2 linked regions of the Arabidopsis thaliana genome follow. The protein of the gene in region 1 interacts with the protein of each later gene in a pairwise test. Each region holds a gene or a part of one and is shown on either strand. Other genes may lie near its edges. The genes, in order: AT4G33940 and LCBK1.

Evidence for each region.
Region 2: the proteins of AT4G33940 (region 1) and LCBK1 interact in a protein complementation assay, tested with the Arabidopsis thaliana proteins (one large-scale study listed by BioGRID).

The regions. Positions count from the first base shown.
Region 1 is NC_003075.7:16,260,616-16,274,914, forward strand, and holds AT4G33940 (RING/U-box superfamily protein), read left to right. Parts: upstream 1-5,403; 5' UTR 5,404-5,469; coding exon 5,470-5,752; intron 5,753-6,046; coding exon 6,047-6,243; intron 6,244-6,369; coding exon 6,370-6,468; coding exon of another isoform or gene 6,469-6,489; exon of another isoform or gene 6,490-6,677; coding exon 6,678-6,729; intron 6,730-6,839; coding exon 6,840-6,997; 3' UTR 6,998-7,269; downstream 7,270-14,299. Other genes in the region: AT4G33920 (Protein phosphatase 2C family protein), read left to right, coding at 261-519, 776-1,152, 1,492-1,728, 1,819-2,088; SSN2 (zinc finger SWIM domain protein), read left to right, coding at 2,677-2,737, 2,823-2,844, 2,960-3,065, 3,147-3,254, 3,348-3,449; AT4G33930 (Cupredoxin superfamily protein), read right to left, coding at 3,774-4,805; AT4G33945 (ARM repeat superfamily protein), read left to right, coding at 7,504-7,639, 7,738-8,049, 8,130-8,413, 8,587-8,715, 8,802-8,924, 9,177-9,284, 9,503-9,681, 9,776-9,899; OST1 (Protein kinase superfamily protein), read left to right, coding at 11,749-11,919, 12,231-12,305, 12,401-12,502, 12,587-12,640, 12,725-12,817, 12,887-12,979, 13,235-13,339, 13,445-13,543 and 2 more.
Region 2 is NC_003076.8:7,900,668-7,917,941, reverse strand, and holds LCBK1 (long-chain base (LCB) kinase 1), read left to right. Parts: upstream 1-8,356; 5' UTR 8,357-8,588; intron 8,589-8,757; 5' UTR 8,758-8,981; coding exon 8,982-9,434; intron 9,435-9,517; coding exon 9,518-9,892; intron 9,893-10,045; coding exon 10,046-10,139; intron 10,140-10,254; coding exon 10,255-10,292; intron 10,293-10,634; coding exon 10,635-10,679; intron 10,680-10,752; coding exon 10,753-10,899; intron 10,900-11,015; coding exon 11,016-11,115; intron 11,116-11,674; coding exon 11,675-12,609; intron 12,610-12,751; coding exon 12,752-12,901; 3' UTR 12,902-13,234; downstream 13,235-17,274. Other genes in the region: AT5G23480 (SWIB/MDM2, Plus-3 and GYF domain-containing protein), read right to left, coding at 4-74, 217-267, 448-507, 790-899, 1,028-1,628; AT5G23470 (Haloacid dehalogenase-like hydrolase (HAD) superfamily protein), read right to left, coding at 3,173-4,081; AT5G23460 (uncharacterized protein), read right to left, coding at 4,535-4,870; FTRA1 (ferredoxin/thioredoxin reductase subunit A (variable subunit) 1), read left to right, coding at 14,164-14,712. UniProt on the Arabidopsis thaliana protein: Involved in the production of sphingolipid metabolites.

The sequences.
Region 1 (14,299 bases):
AACGGCACAAGTACAAGTCATCTCTATCAATATTCTTCTTCTTCTTCCTCACGCGGTTTTCTTTTACCACCACCAACTCAACACACACACGAATCCCTTAAAACCGATCAGATCAAACAAAAACGAACGAATCAAAATTCAATAAAAAAAAACCTTTCGATTTCTCTCATCCAATCGAATCGAAAATCTTGTTATCTCTTTCTCTCTAACTCTACTGCACTCAGAATCTCTCTGTATAGAAAAACCCTAAGTAGGTTGTGATGTTGCGAGCTTTAGCACGGCCTCTCGAACGGTGTTTGGGAAGCAGAGCTAGTGGTGATGGTTTACTCTGGCAATCGGAATTGAGACCTCACGCTGGCGGTGATTATTCGATCGCGGTGGTTCAAGCCAATTCCAGGCTTGAAGATCAGAGTCAGGTTTTCACATCTTCTTCTGCTACTTACGTCGGTGTATACGATGGTCATGGTGGACCTGAAGCTTCTAGATTCGTTAACAGACATCTCTTTCCTTATATGCACAGTAAGTTATAATCCCACTCTTCCTTCCCTAAACTTGTTTTAGGATTCTTTCTTCTTTTGACTCTTTGACTACGTTTTTGATGGTCAAAACTTATGAGATCTCTATTACCCTGATCATTTCAATATTAAAAGATTCGAATTTTGCTATGAAGTTTTGGTCTTTGTGAACATGTTCAGGTTTGTAAATTGCCTCTTGAATTGATTTTGTAGTCATGTTCTTGTTAGTGAAATTTACAGGATTGGTTTTATGATTGCAGAATTTGCAAGAGAACATGGGGGATTATCTGTAGATGTTATCAAAAAGGCATTCAAAGAAACAGAAGAAGAGTTTTGTGGTATGGTTAAACGATCCCTTCCCATGAAACCGCAAATGGCTACTGTAGGATCTTGCTGTCTTGTTGGTGCAATCTCTAATGACACACTGTATGTTGCTAATCTTGGGGACTCGAGAGCCGTTCTTGGAAGCGTTGTTTCAGGGGTTGATAGTAATAAAGGTGCCGTAGCTGAACGGTTATCTACTGATCATAATGTTGCTGTTGAAGAAGTGAGAAAGGAGGTTAAGGCACTTAACCCTGATGACTCACAAATCGTCTTATACACACGTGGAGTTTGGCGGATTAAAGGCATTATTCAGGTATAACTTAGTTTTGCTTGCCTGCTTGTTAAATTGCGTGTGATTACATAGCATCTGTGATGAAGTTATAATATTTAAAAGGTGTAATCTGATGTTGTTTTTTCTTTTCTCTTTTCATTTATATAAATGGGGGCTTGCAATGTTCCAGGAATCCGTCACACGGGCTCCTGCAACGTTTCTTCCCCAGTGGATTTTGTGCTTTTCTAAGAATTCCCGGTAGTCAGAGCTATACATAATAATGAAGATACATGCTTTTTAGTTGCTTGTGACCTTTCCGTGAATGTTTGAGCTCGTTGTATATTAGTTAGCTAAATCGTTTTCATATACGCTTCTTTATAGGTATCGAGATCAATTGGGGATGTATACTTGAAAAAACCGGAGTATTACAGGGACCCGATTTTCCAGCGACATGGAAATCCCATTCCTTTGAGGAGACCCGCGATGACAGCCGAACCCTCCATTATAGTAAGGAAGCTTAAGCCACAGGACTTGTTTCTGATATTTGCATCAGATGGTCTCTGGGAACATCTTAGTGATGAAACAGCCGTAGAAATCGTCCTCAAACACCCAAGAACTGTAAGTTTTCCCTAAACTCAAGTTTGCTTTGTATCTTCACATTTATGTTAGCTACTTAGTTTATTTATTTATTAACTCTGTGTTCTACAGGGTATTGCCCGAAGACTTGTAAGAGCTGCTCTGGAAGAAGCGGCAAAGAAGAGAGAAATGAGATATGGAGATATAAAGAAAATAGCCAAAGGAATTCGACGACATTTCCATGACGACATAAGCGTTATTGTAGTTTATCTAGATCAAAACAAAACCAGTTCATCGAATAGTAAATTGGTGAAGCAAGGAGGTATCACCGCTCCACCGGATATCTACTCATTACACTCTGATGAAGCAGAGCAACGACGGTTACTCAATGTGTTATACTGACTGTTTGATTATGGTAAAATGGCTGCTTGGGAAAGATCCGAATAGGGAGAAAACTTGTTTACATATTTGTTTATTTGTTTTTCTACGAAGAACTGGTTTTTTTTTTTTTTCAATATTGGAGTTGGATTTGTATATTCTTTTACCAGCAAAGAAGGTCGAAACCCTTTAGTTTTTGGGCAAAGCAGTTTTGCTTTTGACACAAACAATACTTTTGTATGAAAATCTAGTGTGAAACCGTTGAGGACAACTCTTCATATATCAGATTGTTTTTTTTTATGACCTTGTATGGAGAGATTAGTATATTGAATTATTTGTCTATAATAACTAAATAAAAACATTATCGATCACAAACCAAAATAAGCCAACAAAATTCCAGATGTTGCCTAAATTTTGGAAAATATGCATGACAGACATTCGAAACTTCAGATCCAAATCAAACCGAAATTGAAATTTGTCAAATATCTAAACCGAATTGAACACGAGCGGTTTTTGAGAATATGAAATTGGGCAGAGCAATTCAAACTCAAAAATTCAACAATTCCAGAAGAACTTTCTCAGAAAAGTTTCGACGGAAGAAAAAGCAAAACGATGAACGTCACTCTTTTGGTCGCAGACGCCGTTTGGTCGAACATTGAATCAACCGGTTCAGGTACTTCACCATTTTACTACTTCTCTCTTTCCTTTTCCTTGTTTACGACATTTTATTCCGTTGAATTTTCCATCTTTTTCTGCAGTAACCGAAGAACAGCTCTCAATGTCAGTTCTCTCTTATACATAGCTGGGATTCTTTATTTTTCCCGAAAATATTTATTGATTTTTCTTCAGTCGTTTGGTATGATTAGGGTTTATCGATTTAATTTTGCAAATACAGCTTGCAGCTGTTGTTTGGTAAGAATCTTGAGAAAGCCACCAGAATAATCGACAAGAGAGGCGTCAAGAAAATATCTGGCTTACCCAGTGGAAGATCCATCTTTCAGGTTTCAACAGTTCTCTCTGGTTAATAAAAGCAATCATATTTGATTATCTAAGAAGATTTGTTTTTTTGTTTGGGTTTTCAGGTTGTGGGGGAATCTCAGAAGAGAGAAGAGTATCTCTGCTTCCCAGGAGATTACTGTGGATGTTATTCTTTCTTCTATGATGTTGTAAGCAGAGGAGAGCACCAATGTGTAAGATTCTTAATCAGAATGCTTCCTTTTCTGTTTAGAGATTTTGTATCAATGTTACTGACTTGTTATATTCTACTTTTCTCTTTTGGCTAGTGTAAACATCAATTGGCTGCGAGGTTGGCTTCTTCTTTGGGTACATACAACGAAATCGAGGTTTCTGATGACCATCTTGCCTTGATGCTCTCAAAGATCTGAAGCTTTCAATACAACTACATGTCTTAGGCTTATAAGTGCCAGTAACCTGGGAATGATCTGTGTCTTTGAGAATTATATGGATCAAGATTCTTCACATGTTTGATGAACAATGTTGCTTCACCTTTTATGTTTAACTTGCTGTATATAAGTCTTGAACTGCTATATTTTCAACTTCTTAATTCAGTGGAAGAAAACTATGAACTTTGTAAAAGTAGTATTCATGCATAAAACTTTTAGTGACTCGTATACAAAGATTAATTAATCAAAAAAGCGTAGAATGGAAACAAACTCAATGATCAAAGAAAGGAACAAGTGGATTTAGAGTTAGTGTGAAGAAGGGCGGGGAATGGGGTGGACAGAGAATTTCATGTTGTGGTTGCATTCGTTGTGGTCTCCACTGGCGAAGTAGTAAGTCTGAACCTTACGGAGAAGCAACTTGAAGCCTCTTGATGATGAACCTCCTCGTGCAACCAGCTTCTTGCCTCTGGCCACATTGCATCTCTTGAAGCTCTTCATGTCTGGGAGCAAGTAGACGTCGTTCTTCTTCTTGTTACGGTGCTTCGTCTTGGATTGGGTTTGATCATCGTTGTTGTACTTGAAAACAAGAACATCGCTGACGTAGAATGGGGCATGCTTTGCTGTCCATTCTGTGTAACCGTATCCGTTTTTCCATACAGTAACCGCAATCTTTCTTCCAGCCGGTATTGGAGCCGTGTGGTTGTGTGTAGAGCCAGTGATGCTGGAGTGGTTTGAGCCAGAGCTGTGATTGTTGTGTGTAGAACCAACGATGCTTGAGTGATTTGAGCCAGAGCTGTGATTCTTGTGTGTAGAACCAAGTATGCTTGAGTGGTTTGAGCCAGAGCTGTGATTGTTATGTGTAGAGCCAGTGCTGCTTGAGTGGTTTGAGCCAGTGCTGCTTGAGTGGTTTGAGCCAGAGCTGTAACCGTTGTGTCTAGAGCCATTGCCGCTTGAATGGTTCGAGCCAGTAGAGGTGTGACCGTTGTGTGTAGAGCCAGTGGCACTTGAATGATTCGAGCCAGAGCTGTGACCGTTGTGTGTAGAACCAGTGCCGCTTGAATGGTTTGAGCCAGAGCTGCTTCCCCAACCCCAGTTTGTATCTGTTCCGTCGGAGCTCCATCCCCAACCCCAGCTTGAACCACCCGAGTTGGAGTCTGAACCACCTGAACCCGAGCCAGAAGAACCGCCAGAGTTGCCGGATCTCCATCCCCAACCCCCGTTCGAACCGGACTGGCCAGAACCCCAACTCCAGCTCCATGCTTCAGCACTCCCGGAGAACACGAACGCAGTAACCATGAGGACGACGAGTAACTTACGTCCACAATAAAGAACCATCATCGTGTCTTCTTCTTCGTTTTTTTTCTCTCTCTTTTTTTTTTATGGCTTTTGTGAGCTCTTCAGAGTTTAGAGTTTCGGTATTTATAGAGTAATGAGAGTCGGTTCCCATTATTTAGTGAATATAATTTTATTTGTTTTTTTAGTAACAGTAATAGGATTTTTTTCTTTTTCTTGGATCAAATAGTAATAGGATTTTAAAAGTGGATAAATCTAGCTTTAGTTATTATTGTTTGAATTTTGATGAGTCTTTTTTTTTTTTTTTTTTGCATATACGATTAACATTGCTTAAGGATATTGTATATATCTTTAACACACAAAAAAAAAGATATAGTATACATAGTTTTGTTTGATATTCTTTTTATTTTCGCACAAAAAAAAAAAAAAAATCTTATTTATACTATAATGAATCTAAACATCTGTCCACCTTTAATCCAAGTACCTCTCCCAACTACTGCGACTAAATGACCCATTTGCCTAAATGTAGTCCTTTACCTTACTGAAAATAGCGAGGACAAATCAGTCATTCACCGCCCTAAAACACGCTTTGACATGTATTTATCCATTTACTGTTATTTTATCTGTAAGAAATCCAAATAAACTCATTTCTGTAAATTAGGAAACTTCTGAGAAAGTGACGAAAGCGAAGAAGGTTTCGGAAGTAAATATGTCTTCCTTGGGGAGCAGCAAATCCCTGAGGGATGAGATGGAGGTAACAACCGCCGATGTTTTTCCGGAGGTTAACGCCGCCGCTGTGACGGAAAATCTTGATCGGAACGAGCTTGTGCTTGCTGACGGAGTCGTGTCGGCTGAGGAAAGGAATATTGAGCCAGACAATCGTGGAGAGAGGAAGATAGAGAGCGAGTCGCCTCCAGAGGATGATGTTTGCCCGATCTGTTTCGGCTCCTTTACGGTTCCGTGTCGTGGAAATTGTGGTCATTGGTATTGCGGTTAGTCTTTTCATCTTTCTTCTTCTTCTTGATTCTCTTGAGCCATTTCATCTACATTGAAGTATCAAGCTTGTGTCTTTTTGGGATATTTCTGTTCGTCAGAGGTAAATTTGGAGAATTGTTTGGGTTGGAATTGGTTTAGGGTTCCTTTTGGTAGCCAAGAATGATTTATCACAACTGATTAACTTTTGAAAGTGTTGATTTTTAAACCATGCTCTGTTACTATGGAGTGTTGTTTGCAATGTCATAAAAAGATCTGAAAGTTTCTTAAACCGGTTGCTGATTTTGTTACAGGAAATTGCATCTTGCAGTACTGGAACTATGCTGCAATATCTAGGCCTTGCAAGTGTCCCATGTGTGTTAGGCACATCACGAAGCTGTCACCAGAACCATCTTTGCAAGAGCGTCAGGAGCAAGAGGTGAAGGAGGTTCTTGATAAAGTCCGTAGGTATAACCGTCTCTTTGTTGGAGGTCTAACTGGCTTTGTTCAGGTACGGTCTTTTTGATTCATGATTTTGTTTTGCTTCTCTTTACTGTTTCATGCATTTCTTATCTATGTATATACTTATTTCTCCTTTTTATGACTTGGCAAAACCACCATCTTTCGAATAATTCAGAAGGTGCATGAGCTTCCGTTTCTAGTGAAGAGAATGGTGTGGCATATGATGGATACAGATGTGAACAATCTGTATTTTCACGAAGTGCGCATCTTTGCAGTTAAGAACATCTTACCCTGAAATTTACATTTCATAGTTTAGTGTTTAGTTATATCTCTACCCACTTATTCTTGTTGTCATTTGTTGTCTGTACTAATGGCCAAGCAAGACAATCTTTGTAATCATCATAGGAGCAACTAGTTTGTATTTATTCTTGTTTTTAAAGGCCATTGAAAGATGAGAAACTAAGTTTCTGTCGGTGTTTGCAGATGTTCATGAGTACCCTTTACACTGCCGCAGAGTTTAACTTCATTCCAACGGGTAAGTTGCCTCACAAATCAAAAACCAGCAATGAAGGGTTAAACAATCTCAATGTGGTGTGTTTAAGGCTTTTAAGCTTTCCAAGATTGATTTTGCCCTCTTTTGTACAGGCGGGTTCAGAATAGTGACAGTTTTTGACTACGCTGCGATTGCTATGATCCTGATTCTACGCTTAGTAGGGATATATCGGAGGAGACGCCTAGCTCAGCAGGTTAGACATCTAGCAGCTGCAGCAATTGAGCCGGAATTAGAGCAAAGGGAATTGTAACAGACACGTGAATCTATTAAGTCTTGTGCAGTTTGATCCTTGTGGATAAGTTTGGTAGTAGATCATAGAAACCTCGAGAGTCGTGTGCAGTTTTACAGACAATGATATTGCAGACTTTAAAAGTATATACATATCTCCTTTTCTAACAGTGGAAATAAAATATTGATTGGAAAAGATCTCTCTGGAAAAGGATCTTAATCTTTGATTAGATGATCAAAGGGTTGAACAAATGTTCGAAGAGTAGAAGTGGATATTCTAAAAGACGAGTGATGAGTGATTTAAAGATTCAAAAATTTCATAATTATCTGAAATAAAATGATGGTAGAAGAAAGAAACAGTGCCTGTGGTCTCGAAACAGTGAAACGACATCGTTTTAATTTCAAAAAGACACCGTTTCTGTTTTAATTAATTGCTTTCAAATCAGTAGAAGAAGAAACATCGATTGAGCTTTCTACTTGAAAACCATCTTTTCCGATCTATCGAATCGGAGCGGCGAAGGAAGGAGAATGGGTGTCCGTACAATATCTCAGGAGGCATTCGACGATCTGGTTAGGGAAAATGTTGAAGATCTTGGTATGGATCCCTCCGAAGCTCTCGAAGACGCTCTCTACACTCTCAAGCTCCAAGGCGTCGATCTCTTTGGTCCGTTTACATTCTCTCCTCTCTTTTTACTTTCTCCAGAAATTGGCCTTCCTCTCGAACTGGCGTTAGTTCAATTTGTGTGTTTGTTTATGGTACAGGGATCATTACATGTGTTCCTGGAGAAAGTAGCGTTAAGGACAATCCGGTGATTGCTTGTTTAGATAGACTAAAAGAATTCGACAGTGTTTCAATAGACGGACCTCTTCGAGATGAGGTTTTCGATGAGATATCGAGTTTGTTCAAGAATCTCAATGAGCTTTGTAGCAGCCAAGAATCAGGGAACGCTGCAATTGCGACAAAACATGGTGCTGTGGATTTAACTTGCTCGATTTGTTCCAAAATCAAGATATCTACTAGAAGTAATCGTGTTCTTGTTCCTTGCTTTAAGGCTTTGGCTGTGTTGATCCGTGGTATGACTTCTGTTCTTGAATTAGTCGTTCTTGTGTGTTTTAACTTTGATTTGTGTTGATCATGTGTTATTCAATTGCAGACATTCAGAGCACAGAGAGATTCAGGAATTGTACTGGACCAAATATCGTTGTTGATCTCTTAAATGATTCCAGCTCCGATTCTGATTTGTTAGATGCTGGTTTTGCGGTTGTTGCTGCTGCAGCAACTGGTAATGAAGTTGTGAAACAGTTATTCATGGAACTGAAAATCGATGAACTTATTCTGCAAGTGTTGAATAGAGAGAGTAAAACTACCATTAGAGCTCTGTACGATGCTATTTGTGCTCTTTTGACTCCAGATGACTTCCGTGTTGTTGCTTCCCAAGTAAGTATGGTTACATTCGTTTGGTATATGCCACTTTTGACTGCGGGAATGAAATTAAGGGAAAACAGCTATATAGCACTTAGCAAACATTTATAATCGTTGTTTTTTGTGCTTATTCATGGACATGCTTTGAGAATTCAAATCCACTAGACTTTTGCTTCCATGTGTTTCAGGTTTATGGTTATGCACGAACTTTTGCCAAATTAGGGATTGCGACAGCCCTCACTGAAGCATTACAGGCAGGGATTGGCTCTGATAGTTTGGTGTCAGCAAGTACTGCGTTAAAAGCAATTGCTGTCAATGTAAGTCTCCTAGTTGAAATCTCTGTGTGATAACATTTATCTGGTTAGGTTCTTGCAAGTTCTTCATCTGGTTTTGCTGTAAACAGGATGAAATATGTAAATCTATTGCTGAATCCGGTGGAATAGATACACTTCTTCGGTGTATTGATGATAGCGGTGAGCAAGGCAACAAAACTGCTGCTAAGACATGTTGTTCCCTGTTGTCTAAGGTGAGTAGCTTCTAATATGCCCTGCAGGCTGCCTCTGTTGTCTTCATTGCCTTTGGTTATTCAAAATCCTTCTTTAAAACTCAGGCTTTCAAGTATTTTCCGCACCATATTAAGGAGTAGCTTATGTTCATGTGCTTCTAATAAATGCATGTTCTCAAATTTTAAGCTTTTCCAAAGCCTATTACTGATTTAGATTAGCATTGTAACCACGCATGATAAATGTTTATCTAAAATTTGTATTTTGATCTCTAGTTGGCAGGAAGTGACTCTAACAAGAGTACCATAGTTGAGAAGCAAGGTCTGGACAAGCTAATCACACTCGCACTACGATTCTCTGATGATCCTCTAGTCATACAAGAGGTAAGTATATAAACCAAACGAAAACCCTCTTATGACACTATGTCCCATGCGCAATTTTAAATCTTCCTGTCTAGAGAAGATACTTGTGACTACAGGTCACGTCTTTGGCAGTTTTCCACTAGATAGAACGTAATGTCGTGTGAAGAATGTTTCTTGTAGCATTAGGGTCTGAGTGCATAATCCTTGTGGTTGATCCAAGATATACTTGATTGGTTCAGGTGATGTTGATAATCTCTATAATCTGTCTGAGATCACCAGACCACGCAGCCAAGGCTATAGAAGCTGGAGCTGGTGATCTAGCGGTCCAAGCAATGAAGAGGTTCCCAGTAGCTGCTCAAATGCAGAGAAACGCTTGCAACATGATACGGAACATTGCTGTCAGAAGTGCAGAGAACAGGTTTTTGCTCTGTTTCCAATTCTTGTCATCCAACAATATGCACATATCGCAAACTCTTTTATAATATCAAGTTCTGTCTGCATGCACACTACAGAACTATTCTGCTTGCTAATGGAATCGAGAAGCTGATAAGAACTGCTAAAGCCAACAATGAGACATGCAGAGCCGCTGCAACTGATGCACTGAGAGACCTTGGCCTTGATAACTACAATAACTAAGGTCAATCTTTCTCCATTGGTTGGTACTCGCAACAACCGGAATGAATCCAGTTTTTTTTTTCAAAAATTTCATAAACAGTTTGCATTGAGTTCTCTCTTTTGGGTAGAAGGCATTCCGATCTAGTCTTTTTTGCAACGATTGCTTTTGTTCGAATGCTTGAACATGTAGTAAAATTGAAAGGAATTGATTGAAAATTTCGGTGAAAGGTACTCTAAATAGTAAAAAAGTAAATAGAGAAACAGAGGCTTCACAATGAGAAATTTTCATTCATTCACTAAAATCATTCGTTTAGTCAATGAATTTCCTTTATTTAGAAGAAATCGATTTTAGTTTGAAACAAGGACAAAATGTTTGTTTGACTAAAGGGAAGAGAAACAAAGACAAAATGTTCACGTCCATGGAATGATCGAGCTCTAGAAGAGTGTATTGGGAATATTAAGTACGGATATATGTTTTTAAAAGATGATTAAAAAAAAAGTTTGCAGCAAAATCGTCATGTGGATGCGCATAAACAAAAACTTTAGATAGTAAAAATGATGGGCTATAGTGATGATGAGTGCAACTCTATCGGTTTCAGCTTTTAGGTGAAGATCTGACAAGCTAGCCAACAATATCTCGACATTTGTGGTAACTTGTTTTTCTTTTATTTTCCGTTTTTAAATGCGGAAACCCTTTTTATATACCGAAATAGAAAGTAAATCTTTTTAGTGGTCATTAATACATGGAGGTTCCCATGATTAGCCATAAGCTTGTTTAATGCGAGTATATGTTTCATCAGCTCCGTTTCAGGACATATTTAAGGGGCAAAATTAATCCAGTAGCCAAAAATGTACATATGTAAGGGACATATTACGATATTAATATATAGATCCACTAACAGAAAAACTAATTGTTAATTTAAATTATTTCTATTTCATTTTTCACTGTGTTTGATTAAATTAAATTGGGATATAAAATCAATTCAAAATCTGTTATTTTAAATCTCATACCATTCTAGTGCTATATTTTTGAAAACTTAGATATTTTTAGTAACTGTTCTAGGCATAAATTTAATCAATTAATATTTTCATATTTTTTGCTATACTATTTACAATAAGACATATAATAAATCGGAAAAAATTAATGCATAATATTATGGAGAGATAAAACTTACTGAAAAATAAAGAGTAACAAATCACATAGTTTATACTAATACTTTGCCAATAAAAAGAAAGTTTATACTAATTAAAATATTATTTTCTATACTAGTCACGGTAAAAAAAAACATTTCTAAAAACTACAGGCCCCATTGTTTGTCAGAACGTTGTAAGTAGAAAGGGTAAATCCGTCATTTCAAACTATCTCCCATGCTTTGACAAATCACAATTCAACAGTTCACAGAAAAAGCGAAAACTTCTTCTATCTCTCTCATCTTTCTGTTTTGTATAGCTTACTTCAAGCTGTGGTTTAAACAGAACAGAGAAAGCTGTTTCCTTTTTATATTGACAGAGAAAAGGAAAGCTGATAGAGAGAGAGACAGAGAGAGAGAAACAGAGTTCAAGATCACGAGCCTTCCTTCTTCTTCTTCTTCTTCATCGAGAGCGATCAAAGGAACAAAAAGGATCTCAAGAAACCCACTTGTGTTGTTGGTTAGATACTTCACGGGTCTCTGAAAACGTCTCTTTCTCACAACCATAACTTGATCACCCAATACTCCTTTTCTCATCTTAAAGGCTCAAATTCATCCACGTCACACCGTTGTTCATTTCCTCTGATGTCTTGGTGTCGTTAGATATTGTCTCCCAAAAAAGAAATCTTCTTGACACAGAGATTGAAGTCGCAAAGAGACAGAGGAAAGAGGGGGAGAAAATGGATCGACCAGCAGTGAGTGGTCCAATGGATTTGCCGATTATGCACGATAGTGATAGGTATGAACTCGTCAAGGATATTGGCTCCGGTAATTTTGGAGTTGCGAGATTGATGAGAGACAAGCAAAGTAATGAGCTTGTTGCTGTTAAATATATCGAGAGAGGTGAGAAGGTCAGTTTATTTTCTTCTTGTTTTTTCTCCTTAGTCCAATTTTATTTTATGTTTCAATTCACTAGGTTCTTGAATTCAAAAGAAATCATTTTTGTGTGTTCATCATCCAATGAGAGATGTGTGTTTGGTTACTTTATGGTTATGAATGGTTTAACCCTATAGATTTACAAAATTGATTGATTTTTATGGAAGACCAAATTTGCTCTGCTTTGCTTTATGACTTATGTTGTATAGTGTTGTTTTAAAGGCTCTAGGTGTTTCTTTTGTTATGGAACGTGGTATTAATGGTGGGACTTTTTGTATTTGTACAGATAGATGAAAATGTAAAAAGGGAGATAATCAACCACAGGTCCTTAAGACATCCCAATATCGTTAGATTCAAAGAGGTTTGTTTTCAACTCTCTTTTAAGCTGTTTTCTTATTATTAACATTTTCAGGAAAAAAAAGGAATTCTATAATTTAATCCTTAGGATTGCTTCAGGTTATATTAACACCAACCCATTTAGCCATTGTTATGGAATATGCATCTGGAGGAGAACTTTTCGAGCGAATCTGCAATGCAGGCCGCTTCAGCGAAGACGAGGTTGTTCTCTCTTTTTTTTCTTGCTTTGATGATTAATCGAAGATTCAAAATGCTGAGGCTAATATATCGTTTACTATCATGTAGGCGAGGTTTTTCTTCCAGCAACTCATTTCAGGAGTTAGTTACTGTCATGCTATGGTAATGAAAAATGCTCTCTATCAAATCAATGCTTCATCCTCTGTGAAATTCAGCTGACTTAAGAAGTTAAATTTTATGTTGTAGCAAGTATGTCACCGAGACTTAAAGCTCGAGAATACGTTATTAGATGGTAGCCCGGCCCCTCGTCTAAAGATATGTGATTTCGGATATTCTAAGGTATCTTTGAAAACATTTCAGAAACTCTGAGTTAGTTAGTATCTCTAAGCTTTGTGTTTTCTTTTTCAGTCATCAGTGTTACATTCGCAACCAAAATCAACTGTTGGAACTCCTGCTTACATCGCTCCTGAGGTTTTACTAAAGAAAGAATATGATGGAAAGGTACTCCATTTTCATAGTTCCCAAACTAGTATGATAACCATATCTTATAGAAAGAACAATCTTTGTATTTTTATCCTCTGATTATAGATAGGGGAAACATGCTTTCTCTTGATGAAAGCTCACACAAATAAAACAATCTTGGCTCTTCAAGAATTTTGGTGAAGAAAGCTATTAAGAGTCTGATTTGTAAACTGATAATTCTTGAGTTTTGGTTGAATTAGTCAAATGCATCCTAATGTTCTTCTTTTTTTTCAGGTTGCAGATGTTTGGTCTTGTGGGGTTACTCTGTATGTCATGCTGGTTGGAGCATATCCTTTCGAAGATCCCGAGGAACCAAAGAATTTCAGGAAAACTATACATGTGAGCCTTTCACTTTCTTCATGCTTCAATAGTTGAAAAATGTAATTATGGATTTTATTACTTGCTAGCTAAACTATCTGTTCTCTTGTGAAAATATTTGCTCAGAGAATCCTGAATGTTCAGTATGCTATTCCGGATTATGTTCACATATCTCCTGAATGTCGCCATTTGATCTCCAGAATATTTGTTGCTGACCCTGCAAAGGTAAAGGAAGGATCATGAAAGCTGCATTTGTTGATTTATTTGTGAATTTTCTTTATAGTATGACTGAAAAGAGAACTTTGCATTTTGGCCCTCTTGGTTGGTTTCTTGGCAGAGGATATCAATTCCTGAAATAAGGAACCATGAATGGTTTCTAAAGAATCTACCGGCAGATCTAATGAACGATAACACGATGACCACTCAGTTTGATGAATCGGATCAACCGGGCCAAAGCATAGAAGAAATTATGCAGATCATTGCAGAAGCAACTGTTCCTCCTGCAGGCACTCAGAATCTGAACCATTACCTCACAGGTGAGACAACACAAAACATAAACTTTTCGATTTCTTGTCTTTTTTAATGCTTCTCAATGTTTGAAAAACTTATCATTAATGGATAAACAGGAAGCTTGGACATAGATGACGATATGGAGGAAGACTTAGAGAGCGACCTTGATGATCTTGACATCGACAGTAGCGGAGAGATTGTGTACGCAATGTGATACTATATATCTATTTGCATGGTTTCTGCTACAAAAATGTCAAACAAAAAATGTTGAAGAATAAGATTAAGATGTTTTGCTTGCTATTGAGTTGGCCCAACTTTGTCTCAATGAGTACACTTTGAATCTTTGATATGCAAAAGACTAAATTTCTAAACAAAAGTGAAAAAAAAAAAAAAAAACATTTTCATCAATCAGTATTTTATCTACTCTCTCTAGTATTTTTTGTTTGTTTTTCTAATAATACTAGAAACAAA
Region 2 (17,274 bases), on another chromosome or scaffold:
TATTCTCTTCGCCATCCCTTTTCATTGGCCTGATTAATAAGCCTTTGTAACACTACAAGTTCTCTTGCAATCCACTAAAAAACATTCGTAAAAGTTGGAGTTAGTTAGCAAATCAGTTTTTCTGAATAACAATTTGCAGCTTCATACACAATCTGACATAACAACCAGGATTTGATATTTGATATCATGTCAAAATAGAGTAAGTTAGCAACATACATGTTTTGTCACATCTTCATGCAAACTTCGAGCCTTTTCTTCCATATCAACCTGTCCACGGTTAGAGTAGATTAGATGAGAGAAGTGAAATAAATCAGAAGCACTAGAATAAACAGACTATGGGAGCAACTTGCAAGAGTAAATGTCAAGAAATACAAATATTAGTAGAGAAAGCTCTAAAGACAACAAGGCAGCAAACTAAGGTACCACTAGATACTCTAAGCAACTTACAACTGTAAGTCTCTTAGCAAAGCCATTATTTATTCTCTGATGCAATTCTTCGCATTCCTCCTGCCAAAATTAACTTGAAGCTATTACAAATCATAAACAAGAATCACTCAATATATAAACTAAAACCAAAAGTTGTGGTGACTAGCCGTTGTCTGCATAAGATATCAGATAACTACTTACGCTCTAAGGGGGAAACAAAGATCTTGCGCAATATTCAATATCATATAAAAAAGATTACGGATATTAGTAAGCTTCAGAAGAAACATTGAGGACTAATTTTTTGCCTTGATTGTCACTGATAGGAAGACAAAAGTGGAACAGACATAGTTCTAAGAATATTACCTGAGAGAAATCATCATCTGATAGGGAAGAGGTAGTAACATCTTTTAGATAATACGAATAATTTGTAACCTGAAAAAGATTACCATCAATCGGATCTCCTTCCTTCACACCTAGTTAATAAGAGATGTGGTTAGTGATAGTCAAAAGAAGTCACAAATGAATAAGCTCAATCTCAGAAAAAATATAAGAAGTTATAGAATCTTAGTTTTTTTCGAACCAGGATTCAGCTAAAGCTTACCGGTTACATGAACAAGCTGACAAGGATTCTTGATCCTCACAAAAGTCCTCACCACTTTGCTCTCAAAAGTTTCAGGAGTCTTTGCTAGTTCCTGGACTAAACTCTTTCTCAAATACAGAAGCTTAACAGTATCACGCACTATTGCAGCAAAAGTCCCTCTAGGCTTTGACACAACCTGTTTCGTCTGTTTAGCCACCTTATCTGATAGAGACAATCTCTGTTGTTTATCATCCTCTGAAGCGTAGAGATCATCATAGAATAAGTCTTCCTCCTGATTCTCTACATAATGCTTCTCTACCAAATCAGGGACTTTGATTACATTTATCTTCCCAGCACCGAAAAGCAAACGCAACTTCTCATCACAAGCTACTGTCTTTCTCCTCTTCTTGCTCTTCAAAGGAGTTTCACGGCTCTTCTCGCGGATATAGTTCATTATAATCGCTGTAACATCATTCTCTGATATCTTGTTGGTGGTATCTCTACCAAGTGATTCAAGAAACTCAATGAGATTTCTCGAACCCCATCCAACAAATTCCAAGCTTTTAGGTTTTCTCAACCTCTTTTTACTCGAACCTTTCACTTTCTCATTATCATCCTCCATTTTAAGTGAAACCCTGTGATAGATATTTCAACCAAAACAAACAAGTAAAGGTCAAAGCTTTCGATCGCCATTTATAGATAACTACAAGTTTCTAAAACAAAGACAGAAGGAGAGAAAACACATTACAGTGATGAAATGCAAAACCTTGACGGGTATATGAAACGGCACGAACTAAAGACGGAAACTTTTTTCTTTTTTTTGGGTATGAAAAAGACGGAAACTTTGTGAAGTAAAAGTGAGAATCGTCGAAATAGGTGACGAGAGAGAGAGAAGATATACCCTGGAGAGCGACTGCTTGAGACGAAGGACACACACTGTTTTATTCGATTTATTGTTCTTTAATCCGATTTGTTGTGTACTGTACTGTGTACCGTTGCGTTGGTCTCTGCGTGCATTTATTGTCGGGTCACCCAGCCCGTTACCCAATCCGAATAATCAGAACATTCTAGATAAACTCATAAAAGTAATTGAAATAAATATTTAGTGATGTAATGGGCCATTTTGTTCTTCTCTATGTCAAATCTCGTCAGGCCCAAAAGGCCCATTTATTGTGTGTTTTGTCAAACCCAATAACATTTTAGAGTACACTTCGGATAGTACCATGATTCGATATCCTAATTACCTTTATCCGATCTGGACTCTGGAGCCGCCATTGGGTGTAATATCTTTGATCCAAAATGGAAAAGGTCTAGTTCTTGAGCATGAGTCTTAATTATTCTTCTTTGTTCTTTTTCCATCTAGTTTATGTTTCTTATTCTTGTTTGCTACAATACGACTGACACAAACCCTCATCTTCTCATACAAAAAAAGGTTCGATACCATATAAGTGATGCATAGAACAATAGATGAATATATTGTTCACTCAATTAAGACAACATGGTTACAACGTAAGCACTTTAAACCTACTGAATTGAATCTGCATGTACTACAAAGCTTTTGCTGATAATTGAGATCCTTATGGAAAGAAATAACCTGCAAGAGAAAGTTGTTGCTAAGCCTGTTTCACGCCTATAAGAAGACTATCCATCTTTGTTTTTTACTCGTCTGTTACTGTTACTCTTACTGTTATTGTTACAGAACAAAGGAGTGTTTCCAAATCAGAGATGTTTCAGGTCACATTCATCGAGGGAAACACAAACATCATTAATCATGGTATCAAGGATACAACAACACAAACTCGATCTTTGTCTTTTTGGAAGTCGAGTGAGCTAGGAGCTGCGTAATCACCTTTCAATTTCAAGTTTTCATCTCGTTATATGTTTCTTGTCTCACTAAATGTTGTTAGAACCAGAAACATCCTTAATGTGACTAGTTTTCTGTAAGTACCACCCATAAGAACCTCAATACATCTTCAATGAAACATTATATTATAGATTGAAACTGAATCAAAACTCAAAAGTCACATCTCATCACATTATGAAACGCATAAAGTACCTCCATTACCAATAACTACCATCAAGATCTAATATAATAAACAAAACACAGGCCGTAAGAAAGAAAAAAAACACACGCAGAAACATAAAAAATGAATCAACACTTTAACTTCAAACCACACCGTCTGCTTTACGCTTCCATCTCAAAGAAATCTCCTTTAGCAACGGCCTCACATCCACTGAATCCAAGTCTTTCTTCGACCAGTCATAGAAGAATTCTTCGTGAACATCCTTGAGGAATCTCAAAGCAGTATTCAATGGTCCTTTCTCATCACTCTCATCTATCTTCTTCTTATCTTCTGAAAACAAACAAGACTTGTCTCCAAAATACTTGTACCTAGCAATCTGCAGCAAGTTTTTCTTGTCATGAGGCCAAACACTACTGGTATCATCAACAATCACAATCCCACGTTCATCAGCCAACACAAGATCAAGCGTCTTAAAACCAGGACTCTCTCTTCTCGTTATAACCCGATTGCCAAAGTAAAACTTGTCCGGATCAATCATCTCCAACACGAGCCGAGCATAGTCATAACCACCCTTTGTGTAAACGTACATAGAGAACATCTCATTACATTCTTTCAGAAACTGGTGAACAAAAGGTCTCAACTTTATCAAAGATTCTTCAGGAAAGCCAGTGTTGAATCTCTTTATATCTTTCCTCGATTCAACTTCCTCTATTATATACTTTTCAGATTCATAAAGCAGTGAAGTTTTAATGGTGTGAATAAGCGTCTGGTCCAAGTCAAGTACTAAGTGAAGCTTCTTGTCTTCAAGCCAAGAGGTTTGAGAGATGAGCCCTTTTGTAAAACCTAAAGCTTCGTTACTCATCTGCATCCCTTTGTAGAGATAATCAAAAGATCTGCCTTCGAAATTGTCCACTGTTGTATAGCAGGAGATACAGATCTTATTGCGGACGAACCAATGATTGCAATTAGGAGACGGAGACTCTATGGTCTCTGGATTGATCTTACGTCTTTTGGATTGTGGCTCAAGAAAAAGGTTTTCAACTAGAGACATGGTTTCGAATCTGAATCTACGAGAACTAATTGAAACCGGACACAACGAAGAATCACCTGAAAAGCTTATGAAATCGACTCAAAAACCTAGACTTTTTTTTTTTTGGTTACAAACCCTAAAGAGCAAAGAGTGAAAAGCTGCGAAATTTGTTGTATACTGGAAAAAAATATGGTTTTGGTAATTGAGGTTTATATAGAGAGAGCGTGGTGAATCAAATAAAAAATTCCTTTTTTCTTCGAAAGCACCGACTCTCGACGCGCCAAAAGGCCCAAAAGGCCAAAACCCTCGTCATCTTGACCACTATACCCTCGATACTTATTAAATGCAATGAGGCTTTGAATCTCATGGGCCTTAGTTTTTTTTTTCCAGCAATTTCCTTTGATTAAAGCCCAAAGGCAGGAAATACAGAAGGTTCAAAAAAATTACATGGATATAAGCCCAGGCCAAACCAAATTAAAATAAAGATAAACAAGAAACGCAAGTTGATTTAGTGTCTAACACGTGTAACGAACGTGTCGTCCTTAAGCCACGTGTCATGACGTTGAGCCTCATTGTCGGGTTCACCGGGACACCGCAAAAATTCCGATCAGCCACCGTCAATCGGCTTTGAGGCGATGTGAATCCTCTTTCCTCATGTCGATCTCTAAGCTTGAGCCCACAACGCCAAGTTTCTTCCGGATTTGAGTAGAAAAACTGCTTCAAAAACTCTCCGATTAACGCCAACTTCGGGGAAGCTCCATCACTGGCCACACCTAAGTTGATGTAGTTGAATCCTTGCTCAAACATCATGAGCAATAGGGGAAAGATGAATATATTATTCCTCGAGCAAATTGGCGGAAACAAAGAGGATTGTGAAGAAGAGCGAAGATGTCAATAGTGTCAGGAGAGTGAGATCGAAGACTCGCAAGAGCGAGAAAGTTTCGGACATAATCGAAAACAAAATCAGAATTATTAAATCGTACAAGGCGAAAATATACACTGATCCGGTAAACCGGAAACAAAAAAACGAAATCTAAAACTTCGATTGAGATCGGAGTAGAGATCCTCTCCCTCTGATAGATGCGAGAGCGAGAAGAAAGAGATCTATCTTATGGGCCTTAGTTCACATACCATCCTTGATTATTCAGCTCAAGAACTTTTCTTTCTTTTTTTCTAAATTAACATTAAAATATTTTAAGAAAATTTGCAACTATGTTCTAAAATTTAACGTTCTTTTCTCACTGATGGAAAATATTTTGTGACATTATATAAGAGTTTCCAATTTCAACAATAATTCATTGTTTCGAGTTTGTTATTTCATGTAAAAAAAAAACATGTGGAACATATGTACACATATCTCGTGAATTATATCCCAATAAGCTCGTAATTAAGGGTATGATTTTTCATACATCATACGTTCAAACATTATTAGTTTCCGATCTAAGAAATATATGAATTGTTTTTCTAAGAGTTGAAATGTACGTATTTCTCAAGTTTCCATAAAGGTAAGCTAATCCTCTTTATGTTAACAACGAGAAAGAATAAGCTAATCATCTTTATAACTTTTCAAAAGATGTGTGATTTTTTATTTTTTGCTGTTGTCAAAAAAAAGATCTGCACAAAACGTGTTACAATCTACCATGACACTACAATGAATATTCGACAAAGAATTAATTGCATCATTATCGTTATCGTTCCAAACTTTATTGAAGTAATACAAAAAATAAAGCAATAATGCCTTTAGATGTGCCCAAGCTTTTATAATAAGAAAGAAGAAGATGCCCTTTTAACAATTCTTCTTAACGAAGCATCACTTGTCTGTTGGTCGCCACATCCAAATTCTAAATTGAATGAACCAAACCAATATAACATTTTCCACTTTAATAATTTTATTTTGACTTGTTTATGTAACAATGGTCGGGACCATCTTCCCATCTACCAACTTCTTCCACTATTAAACCTTCTCTAATCATCCTTTTAAGATTATAAGGTTATTACTTAAGCTAAACCATCATCAACTAACATAGCATAATCGTTTTCTGAAAGCTAAATTATTAAATCTGGCTATGGAAATATTGACAGCTAAGCTAAACCATTTTAAGAAATTTTTTGTTTGTTATATTCAGAATATTCGGCATCTATAGTGAGAAAATATGGTAAACTACAAATAGTAGTAGTAGTTTGTGACCAATAAATATATCATATCTAAATTTGGTGTAACGGTGGTTGACTTTCTTATCAATTTTGAAATTATTTATTTGAAAAAATAGTCGTTTCTTTTGTCAAGATTCAAGAACATAAGTAAATTAACAATCATATATTAAATTTCTTTGAATGTGAAAGTCGGTGATTTTTCTTTAAATAGAATTAGGTTATATCATGGCAATTTCCAATTTATGTTTTTTTTGTAGTTTCTATAATATGTCAGAAATCACTTAGCATTATGGTTTACGTCACCAGTCACTTAGATACATATAATATATGGTATATCATTTCAACATCATGTTTTTGTATTTGAAAGTGTTTTCATTTTTTCTTTTCTTTTTGAATATCTAAAAGTTCAAACATGAAAACTTTACTTTCCCTAAATTTAGAATTCACATCTAGTTAAATTCATATTTTTGGAAAAAAAATTCATCCCAATAGAAATATAATCCAGAACTTCTACCTGTGAGATTTATCAATGGGCCAACTCCGTATTGATAAAATGTTTTCATTTATCTACAACTTCTTCTAATTTTGATTATAAGTAAAATTGTCATCGTTTTTCTATGTAAATATTTAAATCCACGTATTTGATGTTCCTTCTTTTCTATATATAATATATAATATAAATAAAATGATTTATTGTTATTTAAAGATTAAAAAATAATTATAGTGTTTGATGTTGTATCTAATTGAAAATAATATCAAATATCTCATTATAAATTTAAACAATTAAATTTTTAAAATATAGATATATATTTGGTTTATGATACTACGAGCGTTAAAAACTCAACTCAACTCATTACCCAATAAGTTTATAGCTAAATGAGTATATGAGTTGACCCAACCAATTTGTTTAAATGGATTAACCTATGCAATTAATAACTGTTTAAATAATTAATAAAAAAACTATTTATAATGATTATATGAACGTAATTTGTATCGATTAACGAGAGTAATGGAATGCAATTAATGCACTGTAACATTTTTAAGTCAATAAAACTTCACATTATTATAACAATTCACGATTACAAGAATGTCTAAAACATAACCAAAGCTATCCACTACCATTTGAAAACATCATTCATATTTTTTTTCCCTAGAAGCTGGATCTCTAAGATCTGATCGAATAACATTCTAGATCAACTTACTATACAAGAAGAATGAACCAAAAGAAGAAAATAAAATTGCAAATCACCAATTGCAAAACGGAAAAGGAATAACAAATGAAACAAAGAACTCGTCTCCAACAAAAACGATAGAAGAAGAATTAACGAAAAAGCTCTGATACCATATTAAACTCCGATGATCGGAGAAGAGATGATAACGAAAACTTAACAAACTTTCATTACACACATAAGTGTTTGTTACAAAGCTTAATTAATCTGATCATGAAAATAAGCTTATATAGTATATACTTCTCTCCCAAGTCATCTACAATTCATAACAAATAAATATATAAAAAATCATTTAACAATAGAAGAAGATGAGACATGAAATCATATCAATGATATTGTATCACACTTTTATCGTCAATCACAAAACCATATAACCAGGAACAAGTACACAATATAGTTTGGACATTGTTAGGAAAACTTTGATTTATGATTTATCGCCTTGTTATATATGAAATTTTTTAAAACATTTCCAGAAAATATATATGTATCAAAATTAGAGTTTATATGATTTATCTTAGATGGATATTATACTTTGATAAATAAAATTTGTTACTTATTAAGTTTTTTGAAATATAAATAACATTTTTACTGAATTTTAATAACATTGTTTTGTTTCATTTTATAATCAAGGAAACAAATTCAAATCTAATTACTAAAAAAATTCTATGAGAATTCAAATTTACCTACTAAATATATAAATATAAAGTTAGGACTAAAAACTTATATTAAAAATGAGGGGTTTTAAAAAAAATATCTTGCGAATAAAGCAATTGCAAGAATAAAATATTTCGAAAAATAAAGTACAAAATAATTTTAAAACATAGCCATTAAAGTAACAAATACTACTATAATATCATAAATAAAATAGATTAAAATTTTGGAAAAAAGAAGTCCAAAAAAAGGTTCTGTAGTGGAAATAAATCCGAAAGGAGGGGGCCATAGGTTTCTGCTGTCGAGTCGAATCCAATCGAAATCGAATCGAAATTGAGTCGAGTCATCATCTCCTCCGCCATTATCGTCTTCTCTCTCTCTCTCTCCGCCACCTCTCTTCAATTCTGACGCTTCTCAGATCCTCCGATCCGGCGGCGTTACTTTTGCTGATACACTTCTCTCCATTTCTTCTTTTTGTTCGCCGAGAAGCTAAGGTAAGACGAATAAATAGCTAAAAGCAAGCTCTGACGACGATTTCGTTTTCAGATTCGTTTATCATTTGCTTCCGATTCCTCATGATCTGTTGTATAGTGTTCTTATTTTGATTGAATTTCCATCAAATGCTGGTTATAAATCGATCCATGGACATGAATTTTGTTACAGGAGAATTCTTCCTGAAAACGCGTTGATGGATCTGATGTATAGCTACGGATTAGAATTGTGTAATTCTCTCTAAAATCTGTTCGTTGACCAGCTCGAACGAGGTTTGATTGGGTTTCTCTGTTTATGCTCATCAGGGGTTTTGTTTTGTGTATGCCTTCCGATCACTGTTTGTCGTCTGTTTCGTCCGCGGAACTCAAGAGCAGAGAGATTGTTAGTGTACGGATATGCAGAAGAGTGGTGTTAATCGGAACCCTTCTTTGAAAGTAGCCATTCCTCAGGCACAACAGTCGCTTAGACGTTTAGGTTTTTGCTCCCAAATAGCTACGGGTGGATCTCAGCAGTCATCTCCTATAGTATTCCCTGAAAAGAGAAATAAGAAGGTGAAGGCATCTTCGAGACGTGGTGAGGTTACTAATGATCCACAGGTGAAACCGAAGCCTGATGAGCATCGGATCGATATTGGTGGAGGGGATGAGAAATCAGATTTGTTAGGTAGTCTTGTTTACGCTGGGAAGCTTGTGTTGGATAAGAGGAAATCTGCGAGTGGAAAAGATGCAACAGAGATACAGCAACCAGCCGCTACGGACATCTCTATTAAGAAAGCAGTTGATGCAAAGCTTACAAGCAGCGCTTTGGTTTGGGGTTCTGACATGCTACAGCTTAACGATGTTGTCTCGGTAGGTTTTTGTTGGCCTTGCAATGAACTAATTAACTCTGTGTTTTGGAGAACTGAGTCAACAAACTTATCTATGTTTTCCAGGTGACATACAATGTTGGTCTTAGGCATTTCACTGTGCATGCTTATCCAATTGGCAAGGGTTCTTGTGGCCTGTCTTGCTTCACGAAACCAAAGAGAAGCCGCAAGGATTTCCGCTTTGTCGCACCTACAGTAGAAGAAGCCGTTCAATGGGTGGCCAGTTTTGGAGATCAACAATGTTTTATCAACTGTTTGCCACATCCTTTAGTCGCAAAGAAACAGGCTTCGTCTGAGTTATTTTCGGTCCCCATTGATACCCCTCCTGAGTTGGTCTTCAGGTGTAAGAGTGCACCCAAAATGCTTGTCATATTGAACCCTAGGTCAGGACATGGACGATCTATCAAAGTTTTCCATAATGTCGTGGAACCAATTTTCAAGGTACCGTTCCCATCTTTTTGTTCTTTTTGGATGTTGTAGTACTACATCATCACATTATTTCCACTTTTAGGTACCCTAGAGAACCATTTCCATTTCTCCAATCCCATTATGCATTTTTTTTAATCTTGTTTATGATTTTGTGAACTGTCACAGCTGGCCGGAATTAAGATGGAGGTTGTCAAAACAACTAAAGCAGGTCATGCGAGAGAATTGGCTTCCACTGTCGACATTAACTTATGCTCTGACGGTACCTCTACTTGTTCCAACACTTAATGATATGTTTAACATATCTAGCTTCTAATATGCATATATTTTATCTTACATATCTACTATTACTTACGAGTTCTTAATAATTCTTCCAGGAATTATTTGTGTTGGAGGGGATGGAATCATCAATGAGGTGTGATAATTACCTTTCCTAAACTATACTCATTTTTTCGCCCTATTTTGGTTAGGAGTTAAGTTCATGAAGTGATGTTCCTTTTATACCATACTCCCGGTTACTTATCTGCTTACAAGCCCTGGTGCCTGAACGTACTTCGGAACCAATTTTGGTATTAAAATGAAACCTTATTGGCTTATTTCAGCGTGCTCACACCACTTTGCAAGCATGTTGAATAATTTAAGAGTTTAGATACTCTAATCCTCCAGAGCGAGGACTTTGGGATGCATCTTATAGGGAAATACTTGCTCGAGTTGAAACACATGAGAACTTTCACTATTGATTTTTCGATTGATGTAGAACTCTTTAGGTAGACTAAGATGGATTCAAAAGACTGCTTTCGATGTTAACATCTCCTAGATTCTATTTACTTGGAATGAACTCTCATCTCAAGGCCTGCCTTATTTCAATGTTTCAGGTTCTTAATGGTCTGCTTACTCGAAGCAATCCGAAAGAAGGAGTTTCTATCCCAATTGGAATAGTACCTGCTGGTTCTGATAACTCGTTAGTTTGGACTGTCCTTGGTGTAAGAGATCCTATTTCTGCAGCACTCTCTATTGTGAAGGTAACCCCGCCTAAAATCCTATTGGTCCCTGCTTTGTTTTATCCAGCCGCCAACATTAATTAGCTTCTACTTAATTAATATTTTCTCAGTGAAAGATTTTTTTTTTTTTGGTTTAGGGTGGCCTAACAGCTACTGATGTCTTTGCTGTTGAATGGATTCATACCGGTATTATACACTTTGGAATGACTGTTTCCTACTATGGTTTTGTTAGCGATGGTAAGTGAGGATACCTGTGTGCTTTGTCTTGTATGATTTTCTAATGATAAACAGTTTCTCAAGTGTAGTTAGGTTTGAATCTGTATTCCTAGCTTCTTTGTTTCATTCACCGTGTCTGCAACTGTTTAGATCTTTCATGCATTTTAGAGGAGAGTTTTTAAATCTTCCTTACTGTAATTTTTCAGTTTATCTTCTAAATATTTTAACTGGCACAGTGTGAACACTATGCTGACTCCCAAGACACATAATTTCATAGAATATTGCAGAATGTGCACTCTTCTGATGATGAGTTAGAAGCAGAAAATCGCCTAGTTATTCAAACGTATCATGGATAAACTCAAATACATTGAACTTGTGCAAAAGGCTGTAAATCTCTCTCCATTTCTTTAACAGCTCCGGTGTGTGTTTGATGTATTAGTTTGAGCTATTGGACGCTGTCTCGTGTTTGACGTCAGGATTATTGCACATATAATTACCTTCATGAATACTGTATAATGTTTGTGGCATTCACCTGCTATAACTAAATTTCATGGTTTTTCTTGTCATTATCTATTTGCAGTTTTGGAGCTCTCTGAAAAATACCAAAAACGGTTTGGTCCTTTGCGTTACTTTGTTGCTGGATTCCTCAAGTTCATGTGTTTGCCGAAGTATAGCTATGAAGTGGAATATCTTCCGGCACAAAAAGAGGATGCAGAAGGCAAAATTCGACTTGAAAAGGAAGCTGTGGATATGCAAGATCTCTACACGGATGTAATGAGGAGATCAAGCAGAGAAGGATTTCCTAGAGCCTCCAGTTTATCAAGTATTGACTCCATAATGACCCCAAGCGTAGGCGAATTAGACACTTGTAGCAGCACACATGCCAGCACTGAGCCGTCTGAATATGTCCGTGGAATAGATCCTAAAATGAAACGCTTGTCCTCTGGAAGAAGAGATGTTACGGCTGAGCCAGAGGTTATTCATCCTCAAGCACAGTCAACAACCCCTAATTGGCCAAGGACAAGATCAAAGTCAAGAATGGATAAAGGATGGATGGGGTTAACATCCGTGCAGGATCCTCCAACTCGATGTTCATGGGGGAATACCGGTGGTCAAGACAGGGAAGATATATCATCTACTGTATCTGATCCAGGTCCAATCTGGGATGCAGGACCCAAATGGGACACTGAACCGTCTGCTTGGGATGTAGAAAATTCGATCGAGCTGCCTGGTCCTCCTGAGGATATAGAGACAGGACTGAGGAAACAGAGCATCACTCCAATATTTGAGGATAAATGGGTTTCGAGAAAGGGACATTTCCTCGGCATCATGGTCTGTAACCATGCTTGTCGGACTGTGCAAAGTTCCCAAGTCGTGGCTCCCAATTCAGAACATGATGATGGTACAATGGATATGCTCTTGGTTCATGGGTGTGGAAGACTGAGGTTACTGAGGTTTTTTATACTTTTGCAAACAGGTCGACACCTTTCTCTTCCGTATGTTGAGTGTGTAAAGGTAAATTATCTTTCCTATTTTCTTACATTACGAAACCTGCAACTCGCTATGTGCTAGGAAATGCTAATCAAACGGTCAAACTCAATGCAAATATTATAAGTCTAGAATAGAATGTAGTTGATCAAATGCATGACAATTGCAGGTGAAATCAGTGAAGATAAAGGCGGGGAAAAATACGCATGACAGTTGCGGGATAGACGGGGAACTGTTTGCATTGCATGGAGAAGTGATATCGACAATGCTACCTGAACAATGCAGACTGATCGGTAACGCTCCTGGACGACATTCATAGTTAATTAATCTCATCTAAATTGTGAGGATGGTGAGAGAGTTTGGATGTTTATATATCTGGAATTCATTTTTATTGTTTTTTGTTTTTTGTCGGCGTCAAGTTTACGGTAAGTACCATCTATGTGATAAGAGAAGCAAACATGAGAGAGTATACCAAGTACATCCTTTTGTGCCATAACTTCCCTATAACTCTAAAACCCTTTGTATATTCTTTTGCCCTTTTTTGTGTGTTTTGAATTATATATGTACTGTGTACGTGTTTTCTACAACGATTTGTGTGTTTCCATTTCTTTGTTTGGATTAGTCGATCAATAACGAAATAGATGATTTGAAGTAACGAGGTTTTTGGACTAGGTTAACTAGGTGAACTTCTAAAGTGATATTATTTGTGGATTAAGAAGATTTTATTCGAAGATATTTAACTGATAGAGATTCTTTCTGTCTGACTCGGAACTTTGAAGCATCAGAGTCTCACAGATGAATATAGTAGAAGCCGCACGTTCCTCATCCCGTGAAAAAGGACACACGTCTGACTTCTTTATATTGCTGGGTCTTCTTCTCCCTTTCCTTTTTACTTCTTAAAGTTTAAACCTTTGTTATTATCCATTTCATTCACATGTTTTTTTTTCTGTCTGCTTATCATTTACACGTTTCTTGATTTGTTTCATTCGAAAAAAAATCATATTAAATTGCATCCATATAAATTTGTAGATGAAGATTTTGACATATTAAAAAAATGTAAATGCATATTTTAGCATCAATTCTTCCAACTAATAATGATAAAAAATTTCCATCGTTTGGAAATAGTAGACACTATCACACTAATGATCCGGTAGTAAACCATGTGCATGAGCCATGAGGTTAATTTGCATTCTTTCATTTGATTTTCACTCCATAATCTTTCGTTTTTATTTGGTCAGTCAAAACTCAAAATAATAACACATCTAATTTTAGTGGCTTATCCGGTGGACTGACCATCTTCAACTATACATTTTGAAAATTATTTGTATTTTAGATCAAAATTATTTATTATTAACAAAAATAAAATAAAATACAACTTATATCCAATGATATATATAAACATATATATCAATGGTCAAAATTTTTATAATTTTTAAAATTGTAAAGCAAAATATTAAGGTCGTAATAGTAAAATGTTAATTATATCTTCCCACTGAAAAAAGAAAAAAGAAAACGAATCAGTTTTATTCCACTTGCACAAATCTTCTTCACACACATTTTTTTTTCTTCACTCGGACTGATATGAGTAGCCAAATCGCTTTGTCACCGGCCATCGCCGCCGCCATTCGCCGTCCGTCCTCTCACGACTGTCTATCCGCTTCCGCCACTACTGCTACCGCCACCCCCATGGCTCTCAAATCTTGCATCGTCGCACCTCTCTCGCTATTCACCTCTCAATCTCAAATCAAACACTCAAGCTCAAGAAAAACTTCTCGAACCACGATTCGATGCGATGTAGCGATAAAATCCGCAGATTCGATAAACGCAGACGCCAATCCTTCGTCCTCACCGTCATCAGAGGAAGAAATCGAAGCGGAAGCGAAGGCGAAGATAGGATCTAGGGTTAGAGTAACTGCACCGTTGAAGGTTTATCATGTAAATCGAGTTCCAGAGGTTGATTTAGAAGGTATGGAAGGTAAACTCAAAGATTACGTTGCTGTTTGGAAAGGGAAACGAATCTCAGCTAATCTTCCTTATAAGATTGAGTTCTTCAAAGAAATTGAAGGTCGTGGTCTTGTTAAATTTGTTTCACATCTTAAGGAAGATGAGTTCGAGTTCATTGATCAGTGATGAAACAAGAAAGACAATTTTTGTTTTCCTTTCTCAGTGTTTGTTTTTGTTTGTTGTGTTTACTGGAACCTGGGAATGGAGAATGATTTGTATGTAGTGTGATGTGTATTCAACCTTTAGCAATCATATACATAAGGGTTTCTTCACTCTCTATTTATGTTGATTTGATTCATTGGCTTGATCTTGTTATTGGTTTCTTAGTGTTCGATAGATTGGAAGAAACGAAAAGTTGGATCTAGATGTGGTTTCTTGATGATTAATAAGGGCAATTTTAGGCTGCGGTTGTTTCAAATGATTCCATTAGCAAGATCAAGATCCAATTTGGGATAACACCTAGTTTACTATGTTTGCTGTTTAAGACTAGTATCATTGAAGTATCTTGAATTGAAAGGGTGGATCTTGGTCATGATGGTAAGGGTGATTAGGGAGTGGAGCTCAGACTCTCTACTAGATTGAGTTAGCACTTGAGATGTTACATAGTGTGGATCGTACTTGAGGAGTCTTAGAGAAACAGTTCCTTAGGTATTCAGATGATTTTCCTATATGCAAATCTGTGTTGTCTCTGTTTGGTTCATGTGTCTTTAGCTTATAAAATATGTTTGATTTTGAATCAAAGGTAAACTATTGTCATTCTCCTCTTCTGTCTTTTCTAGTATTTGTGAATTCAGCAGCTTCGTGGCTGTGGTATTGGTGATGATCTTTATGCTCGTGGTCGCATTTCGTCCTAGTGAGATAGAGGAGAAGGCAATCTAGATTTGTAGTCGTCATCAATCGCATTTTGATCTAGGAGATGATTGAGCTACGATTGTTAGTCTTTGAAACCTTGTGAATTTCAAGCTTTTGTTGTTGATAGAGTATATAAGCTTAAAGTCTCTAAAGGAAAGTGCTCCAAAATATGTCATCCTTATGTTTAGTTGGTGGGTCAGATTAGGCCCGTTTTTCGTTCGTGGGTCAGATTCTAGGCCCGTATCGGTTTAGCTATTCCTATTCTCATAAACTTTAAAACAAGATATTTTAGGTAGAGAGAAGCGAGTCGTCTTAGTCAAATACATATGCCCTAAGGTAGACAGGTTCATCATCATAGATATCACGAGTCTGTCATTATTCTCAGAAGAAAACTAAAAAAAAAATCTTAGTAATATGTTTAGATTTTGTGAGGAATATTATTATGGTTGTTTGATCAACTCTAACGTACTAACACGTCCATGTATCACGTCTTCCAAAGTTCAACGTTTTATAAAGATTGGAGTATTAAAATTGGAGTGGATGGAGATTCGAGCTTGCATATGAATAATACAATAATTGGATTACAAAACTCAGATTTGGTGACAGCACATCTAGGCCAAGGCCAGGCCAGACCATGGTGGCAATGATTGATTTAGCTTTTTAATTAGCTAATGCATTGTGCGCTTTCAAAAGCAAGCAGCCAAAGTATATGTAATGAGGGACAAAGTAATTTAAACTCTAAAAAGTCAAAACGCTTATATATGTCCGTAATTTTAGGTTTCTATTTCAAAATTTTGTAGTTACTGTAATCTTGTCTTTAAAAGTTGTTACAATCATCTTCCACATAAAAACTTTATCTTACCGAATGTTTATTTAATTAACATCTATCCATAAAGTTGTTTTCTTGATGTTACGTAATTGATTTCTACCACCTAATGAATTTCTTCTTTAACAAGAGAATATAAAAAACATGATTTTAAAATAGGTGTTCCTGATATTTTAATGTAATGTGAAATGTCAATTCTACTTAAATAACATTGCACCAATAAATCAAGTCCCTAATTCTAAAAATTCGACGACGGATAAATGATTAAATTAACCATTCAAAATAATTATGAATTTTTGGTTAAAGTCAAGATTCAAGAAGCATTGCAACATTGAAATCATGGTTTCACAAAAAAAAACTCTTTATTAAATAAAAAAATCTTTTGTTTTTGGAGTTAGAGTTTGTGTACTTGTAAAATGTATGGGATCGCTCATGGCCCCATGCAATTAGGTAGTCCGTTACTTTCAAGCCAAACCTTTCACCATAATTTTTTTGTCTATCCAACGTTGGTCTATCTACTGACTGTCACTGTTCTTTCATTATGGATACAAAGTTACATTTTGCTGTTGGATCGCTCACTTATTTATCCTCACAGTACGTTATCACTAATATTGTATAAAAATACTTTGGAAAATAACCGATAAGTTATATGATCATTGCATATTTGTTTTGGACGAGTTTTTTAAATGTTAAGAGATACTAGAACTGAAACACTTGTACATAAATTTTGTAACTTTTGGACAAGGGTCCATGATAATAAATTTATTTAACATCTAAGCAATAATCACCTATTAATGATTACATCGCCATTTTCCATTATAGCACCGACAGTAGTTTCATAATTCCATTATATAAAATTTCGGTCAAAACATTTTCTTAAGGATTAATTTGCAAACCGCGATTTCAGTTGTGCAATGTCTCCCCTTTTTTAAGTCTTTTATTGATTAAAAACTATTTTTGGATATGCACTAGTACTATTTTGTTCCTACAATCAGAATGTATATACTCTT